Drosophila melanogaster: one gene and its partners. The protein of the gene in region 1 interacts with the protein of each later gene in a pairwise test. Each region holds a gene or a part of one and is shown in the gene's direction. Other genes may lie near its edges.

Region 1 (5,118 bases):
GAACCAGTTGATTATTTCCGCCTCCATGGCAGTATGTGAGGCCCATGATGGCCGGCGGCTGGTGGCCCATCGAGTCCAGGCATCCGTCGGAGGCCACCGAGCGCAGCTCGCCCCAGTGCAGGTTGGCCGGCAGACCCGGGAACTTGTCGTACACATCGTAGGCGATGTGGTCCATGAACCACTGGAAGCTCTTGCAGTTCAGTCGCTTCTTCAGCGCCAGTTGCTCGCTAATGTCGCCCATGTCCAGGTAGCGGGCAAGCGGCTCGCGCGTATAGAAGTACTCCTTGTGCGTGTCGTCGAACCACGTCTCGATGACGCGCTTGTAGTTGATCGTGATCAATGGACCCTTCTTCTTGCTAGCCAGTTTGCCGAAATTGTAGGGCATAAAGCCGCGATAGACGTGACCCACGCGAGAGCATGGCACCCACTCGATGCTGCCGCCACACTGCCAGATCTTGAAGCTCAATTCGAAGTTCTCGCCGCCCCAGACCAGCAGACCCGGATCGTAGGCGCCCAGCTCCAGGAAGTACTCCCTATTGATGGCGAACAGGCCGCCGGCGTGCGTGGGACTGCGATAGGGTTCCGAGTTGTGAGCACGGCGGCGCTGCTCGCGACGTGGCACCTCGTTCTCCTTGTACAGCATGCCCCATTCGAAGATGCCGCGGAAGTGGTTGTCCGTGCCATAAACCGGCCGGTACTCAAAGTTCTTGTGGTCAATGCCATCGATAATGGGCACTGTCATCACAGTGCGATCCCGGTAGATGGGCGCCAGCAAGGGCGGCAGCCAGTTGGTGTTTACCTCGCAATGGGCGTCCAAGAAGACGATCACCTCACCTGCGGGATGCAAAGCAGTTTAGTGTTTGTGTGGATATTTATAAGGTTGTGGGTTAATATGATGATTTAAAGGATGATGCTTTAAAATAGTAATTTGTAAATTTCTATGCATACTGTTTATGCTAAAAGGCTTGTTTGAAATCGACGATAATCTTGCTTCAATTGCAATGATAGGCAATTCTATTATGCTGAGAAAATGTAAAAGAAATTCAATGAGTCTGCAGTTTAAAGGTTTATCATTGCCACAAAGCGGAACGTGAAGTTATCTTCAATTCAAATTCCAAATAGCTGGCGTTTCAGCGTTTGATGCAAACATCTCAAGATAAAACTATTGTTTTCCATACAACACGTTCTTTTAACTATGCGATAAGCCGTCATGAGTTATGCAAGTTATGCAAGAACACATAACAATATACATAAATGAGATATGGGCTATACGCACCTGTAGCCTCCATGGCTCCCCTGGATCTCGTTCGGATGAGACCTTCGCGCTCCTTGTTCCTGATGACCTTGACCAGCCCCTTGAACTGCAGCACATACTCGTCCAGCTGGCTGCGCAGGTTCTCCTTGTCGGAGAAGTCATCCACCAGGATGATCTCGTGCAGCATGTGCGTGGGCGAACGATCGATGACCGAGTGCACGGTGCGCATCAGCACCGAGAAGCCCTCGTTGTGGAAGACAATGATGACGCTCGTGCGCGGCAGATCGAAGGGGTAGTCCCAGTGGCGGCACTCTTCGAGCCGCGTGTCCCGCACCGATCGGTGCATCGATATCTCATCGGAGCAGGCGATGTTCATGCCGTACTCCATCTCGGAGGCGTCCGACATGTGCTTCTTGTCCGGCGACAGGCTGTGGGCCTCGCCATTCTCGCCAGGCCCGCTACGTGGCTTCACATCTTTCGGCTCAAAGTTGCCAAGGCCTGAAAAACGCAAAAACAAATTGTGAGTGTGGCGCGTGCAAATTACCTATGCAAGCTTACAGCAATTGTTTAAATATTGGCCCAGCCACTCACTGTATGCGCTTGCAGGAGGTGTGGGTTATAATTTCAGACTTATGCATAAAGGCGGGGTATTACAGACCAATAATATGCCATCATCTAACCATCTTATGGTCATATGGAATATTCTACGACTAGAATTAGCATTTGATACAAAAGACTAAAGACACACTAGTTTTGGTGGCTGTGCAGTAAAAATGACTTTTATGAGGTTATTTTCTCACTCTATCCGAATTTGATAGTTGGTTGGTTAGGGCCATTACAAAGCCGGTTTTGGAGAATGTATAATAGAATGCGATAAATATTTGAAATGGGCTCGTAAGTTAGACTGGGAATAGACTGTACGATATGGGTTGGAAAAGGTTATCCTTTAACCTCCAACCATACTTTACTCACGCTAAACGTGGTAATAAAGACTTCTTTGAATACTATGTAGCATACATGGCAAGTAATTAATTGGTTAAAACGAGCAAAAGCCGGTTTTAAGTGATATAAAGCAAAGATTACTGAATTCTTTAGCTGGGTTTGCAGTAAGCAAACAACTCGGTCTTTTCAACAATGATATGGTAACTACTCTGTATCCTTAGTTCTGATGATAGTCCTCCATAATAAAATTGTATAATACGTGAGTGAGGAATCTTAATGGCAAGGCTCACGTTATGGGTGACACAATCCTATTCTTTATCCTGGTCAAGGGCTGATATTGCTATCCTCGATCCTGTAGCCACTTACCATCGACCAGCTTGGGCACCTCCCTGGGCCTGCCCTCCAATCGCTGGTGGGCGAACTTGGGTCCGCCGAAGCGCGTGTGATACGCCTCCTGGACGCGCTTGTGGTGATCGCTCCAGTTGGCCAGCAGATACAGCAGCGGCAGCAGTACCAGCAGGCACAATGCCAGCCGGCAGATCCGACCGCTGCGGATGGTGCTCACGCGCATCTCTCCCTAATTCCGATTCCGATGCCCAGTTCCAGATTCCAGTTACAAAGTTCCAAATCTGTTGACGTGTCTAGGTGGCCAGAAAGAAAAAGCACGGCGCGGGAGACGGGAAGCGGTAAGCGGGGAGCGCGGAAAGGTGGCCACAAAGCAGAAAGAGAACAAAAGAACCACTTTTGGTTCGGATTCGAGATGCCGCTGAATGATCAAAGGCGCCCCGCCGATAATGACAATTACAAGTGCTGGGGCGAGAAGCTAACTGGAGTACACCAGCTCGTCCGCCTGAGTGATGCTTTAACTCGGTGCGGAGCAACTTGCCGGCGAAAAAGCGCCGCTGGCTTTGAGCAAATTGCGAGTGCAGGTGCACGAATATTCGCGGTGCAAACGTAAACAAAAAATGGTAGAAAACGATGTTCAACTGGTAAGAACGCGTTATGCCGTTTTTTCTATCATCGCCCAGGCGTTAGGGCTAAATTAGGCACCAGCAGCGATAGGCGGCTGGGCGATAACACAGGGTGGTGAAAATGGATTTTTTTTATGTATGTGCGCAAATAAGTCTAAATGCTAACTGAAAGTTATAACGAAACGCTTGCTGCTGTTGTTTAACTATTCGATATGCCCTAGTTCCATTTAGTGTTAAATATGTTTCAGCGCTGCGCAATTCAACTTTAGGTGGCTGTCATCGATAAAGGCCACAATCGATAACTCCTTTGTTTATGCCAGGGCGCAAATTTGTAAATTTAACCTAATGGGCTCACATCAACTCCACTTTGCCGTTTTTGGCTCCTGCGGCTTTGAAGCCGATACGCTGGTGGAGATCTCCGGCCCAGGGAACAGTGGCAAAAGCCTGGTGCTCCAACAGTTGGTGGCCCACTGCCTGGTGCCCTACAAATTCGGTGGTCGCCAGTGGAGCGTCCTGCTGATCAATCTGAGTCACAAGATCAACCGTGAATCTCTGGCCAAGAGCATTAGGATGGAGCTGAAGGCGTACTCTGTCGGCGAAGTGATTGCTGCGAAATGCCCCACGGAGGAGCAGCTGGCCGAGATTGCGGGCGAGTGCATGAGTCGCGTGCGATTCCTCAACTGTTTTGCAAACGATGATGTTTCCACGTCGCTAATCGACGCCCGCTACGCGATCATCAATGATCCTGGCATACAATTGGTTGCCATGGACACACTCAGCGAATTCTACTGGCTAGATGAGCCTAAGATTGCCAAGAGAATGTCCATGTATCGCCACTATCGATTGCTCCAGGCGCGCCTGGAGAAGCTCTGCAAGGATGCCATCGTCTGCGGCATGTACACGGTGGAGTCTGCCTTTCTGGAGAATCGTTTTGGCGAAAACTTGCCCGAGGCTGGCATAAAGTACCATGTCAGGATGCAGAAGATTCAAAACCAGATCCTCTTGAATGGACTGCCGCTGTCGTTTAGCAATGGAATTCATTTGGATACAAATACTAGCAAGGAAATTACTGAGGCATTGCTGACTCAGCCCAGTTAACATAGTTAAATTATTATTATTAATCTTAGGACAAAATGATGCTAGGAACTGAAAGAAGTAAACGATTGTATATAGAGTATATAGAGTTGATTAAATTGTATATAGAGTTGATAGGTTAAGAAAATTGTATATAGTTTAACAATTTAACTTTAATAATATCTTCCTTTTAGGGATTAGAAATTATATTTGTTATTACTCCTTTATTAGACAATTTCAAGGCCTATGAGTGAGAAAGTAATCTGTGCAACTAATTAAGTTAAAAAAAAGGTATAACTTCTACATTATCTAGATAGTTACGAACTCAAATATACTTTAATTTCCGTGATATCTTCCTAGTTTTACCCGCTCGAACAAAGAAAATTATAGTCCATATAGATCTAGAAGGAAAGTTCGCTTTTATGACTTATTCCATTCAGTAATATATTTAATATTATATATCAGTAATATTATCTTAATTAAAAAAAATACAACAGTTCTTTAAAATTGTGTTGAAACCTTCACTATGTTCTTTTTTTGTTTTTGAAGAAGGCCAACCCTACCAGAATTATACTTAAAACTAATGATTTCTAAAAGCTATACATAAGTAAGGTGGTTTTGTTTAGCAGTTTTTTTTTTCGTTTTCGTTTTCCTTTTTTATCGTTTTCTTAGCATTTTAAGAAGAAGCAATATGATGGTGTATGGTAATGGCAATTAAAATGGAGAGGAGGGGGGGGGGGGGGGCTTTTTAATGTTATCCGCCGATTGATTTTGGTAGTGCTTAAAAGCCGGTAAATTAGTAAAAATTATTATTAAATACAATCATTAATTTAAATGTAATTTCAATAAATAATTATCTGTTTAAATACGATTATT
Region 2 (5,528 bases), 4.3 Mb from region 1:
GATGGCGCCACAAACGATGGCGTCGTACAAACTTTGAGAGACGTCTGCAAATCTCGGAAAAGCTGAGGAAAATCTGAAAGTCACAGTGATCCATTCGTAAATGACGTGCACGTAAATCAAGGTGTTTCCAATGAATCACAACACGGTGAAAAAAAAAAAAAAAAACGAGAGCACTCATGGAATGTCCATATGGTTATTGTTCAAGTTTTGTTTAGTTTTAAGCGATTCAGTAATATATGTAGATGAATGAAAAAGATCACAGTCATTCGATTTTTAATTGAGTACTGAAAAGTTAATTATTAAGTTCAGGTTTCTAAACTTGCGAATTTGGCATATTTAAGATATTGTATCTTCATTTCGCTTCTTAAGATACTTTTCAAAAGCACCGCCTCAAATTCAAACTTACGCGCGACTTGAGGTCGAGGATCTCGTTGAGATTCTCCTGAATGATCTCCTCCTCCGACATGGACGTAATGCTCTTCCGGGCCACCAGGGAGGTGAGGGCATCCGGCGACTTGGGCACCGCCGGATTGGAGCACACTGTGCCCGTTCCACGCGGCATGGCGGCCGGAAATTTTGGCACCGGCTGGCGATTTGAGGCGGTCGCGGACATGGGCGTGGCTCTGCGACGGAATAAGTGGCTTACGTACTAGTTCGGTTTGAACGGACCGCAAAAAAACAATCGAGTTTCGGAACGGAGTGTATTCAAATTTTCGCAAAAATTTCACAATTTGTATGAAGTGAAGATCGCGTCCGGGCGGCGATCAAAAATCGAGTGAGAGGCGAAATTGTGTGGTTACGAGCCCAAACCTCCTCGTTCCTCTTTTTTTTCGCGACTTCGTTCGATTTCTGCGGGCGATTTGTTGTTATTTGTTGTTTATTTACATTGCAGTAAATAATTGTACGGCTGGCTGTGTGTGCCCCAAGTTCATATCGAAACTGATGCGTATATATATATATATAGGTATGTGCGTATGTGTGTATGCACACATCGACCGAAATATGCAGCAATTAAATTGTTTATTTTTATGCAAAAGATTCGCAGCTATTTTGAAAAACGATTATCGATACAAATGAGCGGCAGAAGGTAGGGGAAAAACATGTTTTTTTAATTCTGTTCTGTATATTTAAAAAAATTTTAATTTTTTTATTTAATTAATTTTAATTACACTAAAATTTATTATATATATTATTAAATACTTTTGTAAATACTTTCTCGTAATTTCCCCGTGAGAACAACTTTTTGACGAATTCCCCCAACAATATTTTCAAACAATCGATGCTATCGATGTAACGGACGCATCGATAATTTGGCTGGACAGTTCGATGATATATCATTTTTAATAAAATCATTAAAATGATAAAAGATATAAAGATTTAACTAGATTTGCTACAAACATTGCAGGTCGCGCTGTTGTCGATTATTCCAGAATAATAACTTCTGGCTGTGCTCATTTTATTTCCGTTTTATTATTAACGTCTTTCTTATTTGAATTCACTTGCATATTAGTGTGACCAATAAGAAATATGAAAAATATATTTAGCAAAAAACGCGATATCTTATATATATATATATCATTTATTTTTATAAAAAGGGAAACAAATAAGATATCGATATTTTTACATATATATTCCACATCTCTAGACAAATCCTACACAGAATTCCCAGGCCCGCGAGTTCTCGCTGCATCTGCATCCACCACAATCTGCACCAGCAATAAACCACCTAACACAAACGCAACGGCGTCGTCCCATCGCTGCGCCCGCCGTTTCCATCGTCGTCAGCAGTAGCAGCAGCAGCAGCAGCAGCAGCAGCAGGAGGAGGAGGAGGAGCAGGAGAGGCGGAGCCACTGTGGCACTATGGCCCTAACTAATCGGGATCGGGAACGGGGCTCTGGTCCATTGCCCAATCGCTGGCTATACTGTCCGCGCAAGAGCGATACCATCATTGCGGAACGCTTCCTGGCCTTTAAGACCCCGCTGAGCAATAACTTTCACGACAAGATGCCCATCGAGTGCACCTTTCAACCCGAGATGCTCTTCGAATACTGCAAAACGCTAAAGGTGAATGCAAACGCAACATCCCCCAATTTCCAACTCACTTATCCAATCCATCTTATGGTTTCAGGTGAAACTGGGCCTCTGGGTTGACCTGACCAATACGAAACGATTCTACGATCGATCCGCAGTGGAGGAGCTCGGCGCGAAATATATTAAGCTGCAGTGCCGTGGACATGGCGAGACGCCATCGCCGGAGCAGACGCACAGTTTCATCGAGATCGTGGACAACTTTATTAACGAACGTCCATTTGACGTTATAGCCGTGCACTGCACGCACGGTTTCAATCGCACTGGCTTCCTGATTGTCTGCTATTTGGTCGAGCGACTCGATTGCTCCGTTTCGGCAGCGCTCGCTATCTTTGCCAGCGCCCGGCCGCCGGGCATCTACAAGCAGGATTACATCAACGAGCTGTACAAACGCTACGAGGACACGAATGCCGCTCCAGCGGCACCAGAACAGCCCAATTGGTGCCTGGACTATGATGATGGCAACGGCGATGGTTTTGTGCAGGACAACTCCTCATCCACGTCACAGCAGGCCGGCGAGCAGGATGACGACGCCGAGGAGGTGGAGGGAGAGGATGCGGGCGGCGACTGTGACGCCTCCACGTCGGACGGTCAGCCGCGTAAGAAGCGACGGCGCGAAATGATCATCAAGAATGCCACCTTTATGGCGGGAGTGCCGGGCGTGCGACAGGTGAGCGATCAGCCGCGACTGGGCGATCTGCAGCGTAAGGTGCAGGACTGGTGCGACTGGAAGAAGAACGGCTTCCCTGGCGCACAGCCCGTCTCCATGGACAGGGAGAACATAAAGCGGCTAAGCGAGATACCGTATCGTGTGTCGTGGAAGGCGGACGGTACACGTTATATGATGCTCATCGATGGAAGGGACGAGGTATATTTCTTCGATCGCAATCACTCCTGTTTCCAGGTGGAGAATGTGACATTTGTGGAGAGCAGGAACCTAAACGAGCATCTCGACGGCACTCTCGTCGACGGGGTATGTGATTCTAGCTGGCACTCCTGATTGCAACTAAATTATCGTTCTATTTGTCCGTTTAGGAGATGGTGCTGGACAAGATCGGCGAGACCGTAACGCCGCGCTACCTCATCTACGACATTGTGCGATTATCGAATCGCGATGTGCGGGACGAGCCATTCTATCCAAATCGACTGGACTACATTAAGACGGAAGTTATAGGTGAGTAATTATTCGATGTTCGTTTATGAAGGACACATCCATATATCGCTGCAGGTCCCCGAATCCTGGGCATGAAGCATGGCATCATCAATCAGCGGCTGCAGGCGTTCAGTGTGCGCGGCAAGGACTTCTGGGACATTTGGATGTCTGCCCGGCTGCTGGGTGAGAAATTCTCGCGGACACTGGCACACGAACCGGATGGCCTCATCTTCCAGCCATCAAAGCAGCCCTACACGGCTGGCACATGCTCCGATGTCTTCAAATGGAAGCCACATGAGCTCAACTCGGTGGACTTTCGGCTGAAGATCATAACAGAGCGCGGCGAGGGGTGAGTTGTAGTGATCTATCCGTTCAACGGGCTCAATTCATACCATGCCATTCTCCGCCTCTGGCAGCTTGCTGACGAAAAAGGTGGGCTTCCTCTATGTCGGCGGACACGATGCACCCTATGGACGGATGCAAAGGTTAACGAAGGAGACCAGAGAATTGGACAACAGAATCGTTGAGTGCACCATGAATCAGTTTGGCAACTGGGACTTTATGCGCGAGCGAACGGACAAAAAGAATCCCAACAGTTATAATACAGCCCGCTGTGAGTAGTAATCTTCACCAGCAGTAGGAGGATCCCTATACTCATTCTCAACTCATCTTAATTTCAGCCGTTGTGGACAGCATAAAGCATCCAGTCACCAAGGAGTACCTACTAAACTTTATCGCAAGCTCTGGCTATCGGAATGATCATGTCATGATGCCGCCGCCGATCAATTCCCATAACCAAAACCACAACCATAACCACTTTTATCCCCATGGTCATGGCCAACACCAGCGTCGTCCCTGCGTGAACCCGACATTAGGAAATTAATCAGAGCGTAATAAAAAAAGAAAGAATAAAATTAATCGTGAGTTATGTACCGAAAAACTGTGTGAACTTGGGTTTTCTTGGATTAGCTGAACTACGAATTACTTAGTACTAGGAGCACTCCAACCAGCTGTACTCCTTATAAACTTAAAACAGCTCATATAATTTATTTATCTAAATACATACATATATTTAAAGCACTGCACACTTGCAGTTTTGTTTATTCAGATGCAAACTTTGTTAACCCAATGGAGGTAGTCCAGATACTGCTCCCAGCACCTAAGGCAGTTGCAACAGCCATTGCAATAATCAAAAAAAAAAAAAACAACTAAATAATGGTGTCCAAAACATAGCCAAAATGGATGACATTTACATAAAACAGGAGGAACTTTGCTGCTCAGTTGAGCAGGCTGCCATTGTCGCGCAGAACCTCCGCCTCCAGCTGGCCAAGATGGAGCAGGGCCACCAGAGCGGCGCCCTGCTCTGCCTGCTTCTTGTTCTTCTCCCAGAAGGAGCTACTAAAGCGCTGGCCATCGTACGTGCAGATGGAGCGAAACAATTTGTCACACTGCTGCGTTTCGTACGCTGGCGGGGATTTGCCAGTTTTGACAGCATGCACATATAGTTGCGTTTTCGGCAGATGATTATCTGTGGCATGAAAAATACCGAATGGGGATGATGGCTATCATGGCAAGAGATTGATCGAAACACTTACCACTGGGATAGGTGGAGCGCAGGAATGGCATGTGTCGGCAAATGATGCCGTCGTACTCGTCCGTTATGGCAATGGCCGCATCCTCCAGCTTCTGTCGCTTGGCCAGCGCCTCCGGTGGCTCCACCTCCGCCCGTCCCGAGTTGCCCATCGTCTTTAGCTCCCGCTGCTTGCGGCGGCAATAGTCGCCCAGCTCCCAGATCTCGCAGATCTGCTGCAGCGTCTGGCACTGAAGGAAACGCTTGCCACGCGGCGTCTCCTGCAGCTCCCTGAGTATGCTCTGCACACAGTACTTGGCGTTATGCGGCGCATTGTCGTAGTCGACGCACAGGCGCAGATACTTCTCGATTAGCTCGTCCATGGGCAGCAGGCCCTCCGGCCTGAAGATGCTAACATTGATCTGTGCCGCACGTGCGACCATCACGCTATCGGCGCCGCATTCCATTTGAAATTTGCGCAGATCATCGTAGCAGTGCATGTTTTTCGAACCACCGTTGGCGATAATCGGTATGTCAACCGCCTGGGCAACGGCACGCAGTACCTCGGGATGGGCAGGATGCTGCGGACGCTCGTCGCGCGTCCTCGCATGAATGCCAATGGCAGCGATGCCCGTGGCGGCCAGTTTCTGCACCAGATCGATTGTACCCTCCACGTCCGGCAGTATGCGTATTTTGCAGGTGACTGGAATGTCCAAG
Region 3 (5,575 bases), on another chromosome or scaffold:
TTTCCAGCTCGGTGCAATAAATCTGGGGCCACAAACTGCACTCGATTGCCCTGCCACATGCAACGTTCCCGCTTTTCTCAGCCAAAACGTGTGCGCAATTTTCGCAATTTTCTAATAGCCGTTAAAGCTGTCGGTGGGAAGGGATCCATTCCTCGTTCTCCACCAGTAACATTAACAAAAACAAAAATAAAAAGGAAAACAGCAGCTTTTCACGTCCGATGATGCCCAGTTGCATGACTTCTTGTTTTTTGCTCGAACGGAAGTCCTTTCGACGCCATTTTGCGGTCGGCTATTGCAATTGAGTGCAGCCCCGACTTCATCAGCTTCCAGTTCCGTTCTCCTCAGCCCCAGGGATCCGGATCCCTCGAGGAGCTCAAGGATACGTGCCCGGGCACTCTGGCACGCACTTTAAGTTTCATTAAACAAAACCATCGCGCCTAGGCCTTCGAAGATTGCCTATAAATTCATGGAAGTCAGTGAAATGGAAAGCAAAATCTATGGCGGACGCAATTTGGTACAGTGTGCTGTCGGAAAACAAGATCGATACTAAAATTCCAAATGCTGATACAAATAAGAGTAACTAGAATAATGAATTTTTTTGTTACATTAAAAATGTTTTTTTTTCTTGTTCGTTAACTTTTAAGTCATCTTTCGAAGCTTCACTGTATTTCTCGCCGTTTTCCGACGCTGCTGACACAGCAGTGGAAATCCGTTTGCATTTCAGTGAGTCCAGGCTGTCGGGTGGGATTCCTATTGCCAGACCCACATTCCTTGGACGACCATTAAATCTGCAACAATTTACTTGTGATTGACATGTTTATAAGGGTCGTAACCCACAGAACCCCTTCCCTAGACCATTTTTCCAGGGAGTGACCCTTTTCTGGTGGAGATGTTTGTTTTTGTCCCCTTTCATAAACGAGTGAAGCCTAAAACGGTTCTGGACTGCTCCTTTTTTTCATTTATCACGCAAAGAGAAATAAATCTTTGATATTTGTGCTGTCAAGGAAGCATACTAAATATCCTTCTGCACTTTCCAGTACTTTTCCTTGGCGAGGCGGAAGATATTGAAGTGGACAACAATTCGTGGCATTGTCTGAAAACTCTCAGCACACACAATTAAAAGTTCCCACGTCAAGGGATACATGAATAAAACAACAAAACGAGTGCGTGAGGAAGAAAACATAACTGAATCGAACGGATAATACCCTAAAAAACAGAGACAGATATTAGTGAATTAATTAGGAATAAAAATCACAACTTATCAACTTTAGAACTCGTATTTGAATAAACTTTCCAAATGAACATCCATTTAATTGAATTCCCACATATAAAACTCTCTTGCCAAGTTCATCATACCCATAAAAGTAGAAAAGAAGTGGAAGCAATGAAAATAAAAAAAAGTGTTCCACAGAATCTTCGATATCTCCATTGGCGGACAAAACGCGTGTTTTGTTTTAATTTTGCACTTGGAAGAAGAAAAGAAATCCCAACCGGTTTTCAAAGGCGCCCCCCTAAAAAGGGCAAAACGTGCGGGTAATCATCAGCCAGCGCAGTAAAAAATGAAAATACGAAATACTACATACAGTTCACGATCAATTGAAATGCAACAAAAAACAGCTGACATGCAAGCAACTGCAACTCGAACGCACTTCGAGCCGCAACTCGAACCGAAAAACCAGGTTGGCACCGATCGTGGCTAAGATCGAAACAAAGTTTGGAAACTTTCAGTTGAGCGCGAGAATTCCACGCGGGCGGACGGGGCGGATGAACGATATCGGTGTCTTGTCGGTTTTATTCTGGTGTCGAAAAGAGCGATAAGAACTGAATTCGTTTCGAAATACTGAGAAGTAAGACACCAAAACGATAAGGAGTCGCCGCTCTGCATGTTAAAACCAAGTCGAGTTACTTCACATGGAACAACACGCAAAATGAACTAAAAACTCATTTCGAAACAGCTGAACACATTTGTCAGCTGGTTAAACAAATTTTGTGTGGAGAAATGCTAATGAGTTCCGTTGCTGTTGCCGCTGAACTTTTCAATTAATTTAACAGCCCATCGTCGTTGGCATAGATCTTATCGCCATATCATAAAACAAAAAAATAAAAGCCCAGCCGAGGAAAACAAAACCCAAAAAAGGTTCTCAAGAAAGTTTAACGAAATTGAAAGAAAACAACACAGCAGCTCAAACGGTTTTTGTTGCTGCCATCTATTTTGGAAGCGATTTTTTCTTTTTTTAGGCCGAAAGGTGCGCCCGATTCCAAAGATTCGAGGCATTACGAGCCCCGCGGGGTTCTCAATTTTCAGCTACCCTTTTCGTGAGTTTTTCGCTGAGCTCAGTGGGATATAAAAATATAGACATAACTCTGCTCATATTTGCAAGTATTTTTCGTACTGACATTTGAAACCAGAAATATGTATGCCCCATCCCAGAGTTGCTGCTGCAAGGTTGTTTTTTTTTTACCTGTCCTCTGCCATTAATTGAAATCCAATGCGGAAGGGGCGTAGTAAAGTGCATTGAGAAGGGGTTTTTGGAAGGGGGCCAACCGACCGCTAGGCTATGACAATTATTACAGCTTCCCAAAAGCGGCCAAAGAAACAGGTTGCTCTCGCTCCTGCCATCAAAAACTCGCAGTAAAGCCAAGTAGTGCAAATTGGTTAGCATAGAACATAGAACATAAAACATAAAAAAGGGGAAAGGAAGTTGGGCCTGCAGTACCGGGTTTTAAATACACTTTATAAGGCAGAAAATCAAAAATATACCATAATTTAAATAAGTGCCTGCTGCAAATGTCACTTTCTATAATAGCAAAGCTGGTCTTATATAACTAATCTAATCTATAATTTCTATCAAAACATATATATATCAAGACAAGAGTTAAGCAGATCTCCGAATACTCTTTGGTAGAGTAAAGAAAAAGCGGAGCAAGATGGGGCTGACTGAGAGACAGGAAAAGAGGCATCGACCACTTACGCATAACTGTAAGATAGACTGGCAGCAAACAGGATTTCTGGCACGTACTTCTGGCTCACAAGTGAAAGAATTACTTGGCTCTTTTCCTCCTCTATGTAGCATATATTGTACATACCATATAGCGTTTGGGTCTGCCGCGCCCCTTATCAACCGACAAATTAAGTTCAAACTGCTGCTGCTGGCCGGCATGGAAAAGAGCTAAAACTCCAATTTGTGTCAAAATACTCATGCGCAAAAATGGAATTTTTCCATTAGGCCAGAGAGACCCAAACTGAAAAAGCCAACAAAAAACTCCTAAACTAACATGAAAACAGTGAAAATCATGTGGAGAGACTAGCTAGGCACTGAGAGAAATTGAGTAGATCGTAAAAGTATTTTACAATAATGCCATTCGTAGTTAAATGAAGTAAGCGCTGGTTGCTTCGTTTAAATGGCCTGCAGCTATTTAAGCCAAACTATCGTTTTAAGGGTATGAGCATTTTCCTCAGTGTACCAGACTAAAGTAAAGTAAAGGCAACCAAAGTTTCAGGCTGCAACTTGTCAAACGTGTTCCCCAACAAAGTCTCGCGGCATTTGGAAATGTGCAGCATTGTGCAGCGGCAAGAAAAACAGCAGCAGCAGCCACAGAAACGAAAACAACTCGCATAACTGTGACTTGTATTAATTTTCAAGCTTTTCCAAACAGCCAACTGCAAACAAAAAGAAAATCCTAATACCGCGTTGTCTCAGCAGCAAAATGTTCGCGGCGACAAGAGGCTCAATTAGCATTTAGAAAAGCCGCATCGTCATCGCGATCCCATCATTAAACTCCCTATAGATGGAGGAGGACGTGCTGAACGCCCTGCAGACGCGGAGTGCCTACTTATCCGGCGGATTCGATCGCCAGAAGCGCATCGTCTTCGTTGTCAACGCATTCAACGATCTGCAGCTGTGGAATCGCCGCTATCTGCAGGTGACTCTGGACTATCTGAAGCGGTCTCTCAGGTGAGAATCGGGAATTAAGTGGTATTAGGCATTTGCCATTAGGCACAGAAACTTTAGAAACCGGCAGTGGAAATGCCGACGATTCATTAGCATATGGCCGAAATATGCAAATAGCCCGCAGATGATGAAGGTTCATTTTTTGTCGTCTTTAATGCATTACTTTTCATTAGACACGGCTCTCTGGGAGGGGTCTTAAAACGGGTCTCGAAAAGCGGAAAACACCTAACAAAATCTGGTTATTTATATGCTAAGTGTCAGATATTTAAAGCCAACTAAATAATTTAAAGTTTCTGAAGTCAGATGATTTGTCTTGAATGGAAAACATTGTTAATATCCACTTACATATATTACTTCAGAGTAACTTGATACAAAGTTCGGTCAGTTTAAGCACACTTTCATTTTATAAACACACTTTACAAGCAACATATGTAAAAATAGTAGTAGCAATAAATGTACCCTCTTAAAAACCTTAAGATAATTTATGAAAATTATATACCGTTCGTAACCTATTTAAACAACTACCTATGGGCTTTACGCCCTTCTTTTGTTATTTCCCATTTAAGTTTGTTTATTTATTGGCACAACAAGCAAATTGTTTAAGTTTACGAGGTAGGCATCAAACAATCTTTTAAATACAGGGAAGAAGCCACATGAATTATGGATATATTGATTGTGATCAATCAACTGGCAGTTCCCCTGAAAAAAGAGTGTCTGATTAAAGCCAAATCCTAACTGGCAAGCTAATGAAGCGCTTAAAGACGCTTTCCTCCAGTCCCAAACCGATTAACCAACTTGACATTAATCTCTTTCAGCGCTTCGGTGTTGCAGAATGGCGTGAGTGTGGTGGTCAATGCCCAGGAGAGCAGTTCGCGGATATCACGGCAGCAGGTGCGACAGATTTACGCCCTCTTCGGGGGCGACATCAATGTGGATCTGTATCTAGTCAGGGCGGAGGGCTTCTGGGAGAAGCATGTGGAGCCGTGCACCAAGTCCCAGGTCAAGGGAGAGGTAAGCTAATAGCTTAGGTTGGACACAACTCAAGAAGTGAATTAAAGATTTAAATAGCTTCCCATTAAATCGATTTAGTTCCTAATAAAATATATCATAACCATAAACTGCAACATAGTAATTAGAATTTCCACATTGAACTCATTAATTTCTCACTGTGCTCTCTTAATAGCCCCTGGTGCTGTCGAAGGCGAGGCTGTTCAAGTTCATAGAGCCGCAGAACCTGCCCGAGGAACTGGGCGGCACCTTGCAGTTCAACTACGATCTGTGGCTGCAGCAGCGCAAGGTAAGTGCCCCAATTTCTGTACCGTTCGAACGGCACATAATGGCTATATTTACGCAGTCCATCGACGAGTTCACCAAGTCGCATGTGCAGACTTTGGCTTCGATGGAGAAACTGTTGGCTCTTCTGCGGGAGCACAAGTCTCTGCGGCCGGCGGAAGCGGATGTGGAGCTGAAGAAGTGCGCCCAGATGCATGCCGGTGTGCAAAACGACATAGAGACCGCCATCGACTTGGGTGAGTCGAGTTCGTTGCTTGAGTCTTTTGTTTTTTTTGGTCTGTTCGCTAGTCGTTTTTTGTTTGCCCCGCGAGCAATTAACATAATTCGGT

What was found. The genes of interacting proteins can lie anywhere in the genome.
Region 2: the proteins of Xrcc2 (region 1) and mRNA-cap interact in a two-hybrid assay, tested with the Drosophila melanogaster proteins (one large-scale study listed by BioGRID).
Region 3: the proteins of Xrcc2 (region 1) and CG15822 interact in a two-hybrid assay, tested with the Drosophila melanogaster proteins (one large-scale study listed by BioGRID).

What each region holds. Positions count from the first base shown.
Region 1 is NC_004354.4:18,496,669-18,501,786, forward strand, and holds Xrcc2 (X-ray repair cross complementing 2), read left to right. Parts: upstream 1-3,458; 5' UTR 3,459-3,513; coding exon 3,514-4,266; 3' UTR 4,267-4,590; downstream 4,591-5,118. Other genes in the region: Pgant7 (polypeptide N-Acetylgalactosaminyltransferase 7), read right to left, coding at 1-834, 1,277-1,753, 2,564-2,768.
Region 2 is NC_004354.4:14,238,914-14,244,441, reverse strand, and holds mRNA-cap (mRNA-capping-enzyme), read left to right. Parts: upstream 1-1,619; 5' UTR 1,620-1,860; coding exon 1,861-2,064; intron 2,065-2,128; coding exon 2,129-3,061; intron 3,062-3,123; coding exon 3,124-3,262; intron 3,263-3,316; coding exon 3,317-3,590; intron 3,591-3,657; coding exon 3,658-3,854; intron 3,855-3,921; coding exon 3,922-4,124; 3' UTR 4,125-4,176; downstream 4,177-5,528. Other genes in the region: CG32599 (uncharacterized protein), read right to left, coding at 407-613; Dus2 (dihydrouridine synthase 2), read right to left, coding at 4,519-4,769, 4,837-5,528.
Region 3 is NT_037436.4:2,160,012-2,165,586, reverse strand, and holds the start of CG15822 (uncharacterized protein), read left to right. Parts: upstream 1-1,723; 5' UTR 1,724-1,847; exon of another isoform or gene 1,848-1,896; intron 1,897-3,657; 5' UTR 3,658-3,789; coding exon 3,790-3,956; intron 3,957-4,768; coding exon 4,769-4,964; intron 4,965-5,136; coding exon 5,137-5,250; intron 5,251-5,307; coding exon 5,308-5,482; intron 5,483-5,575.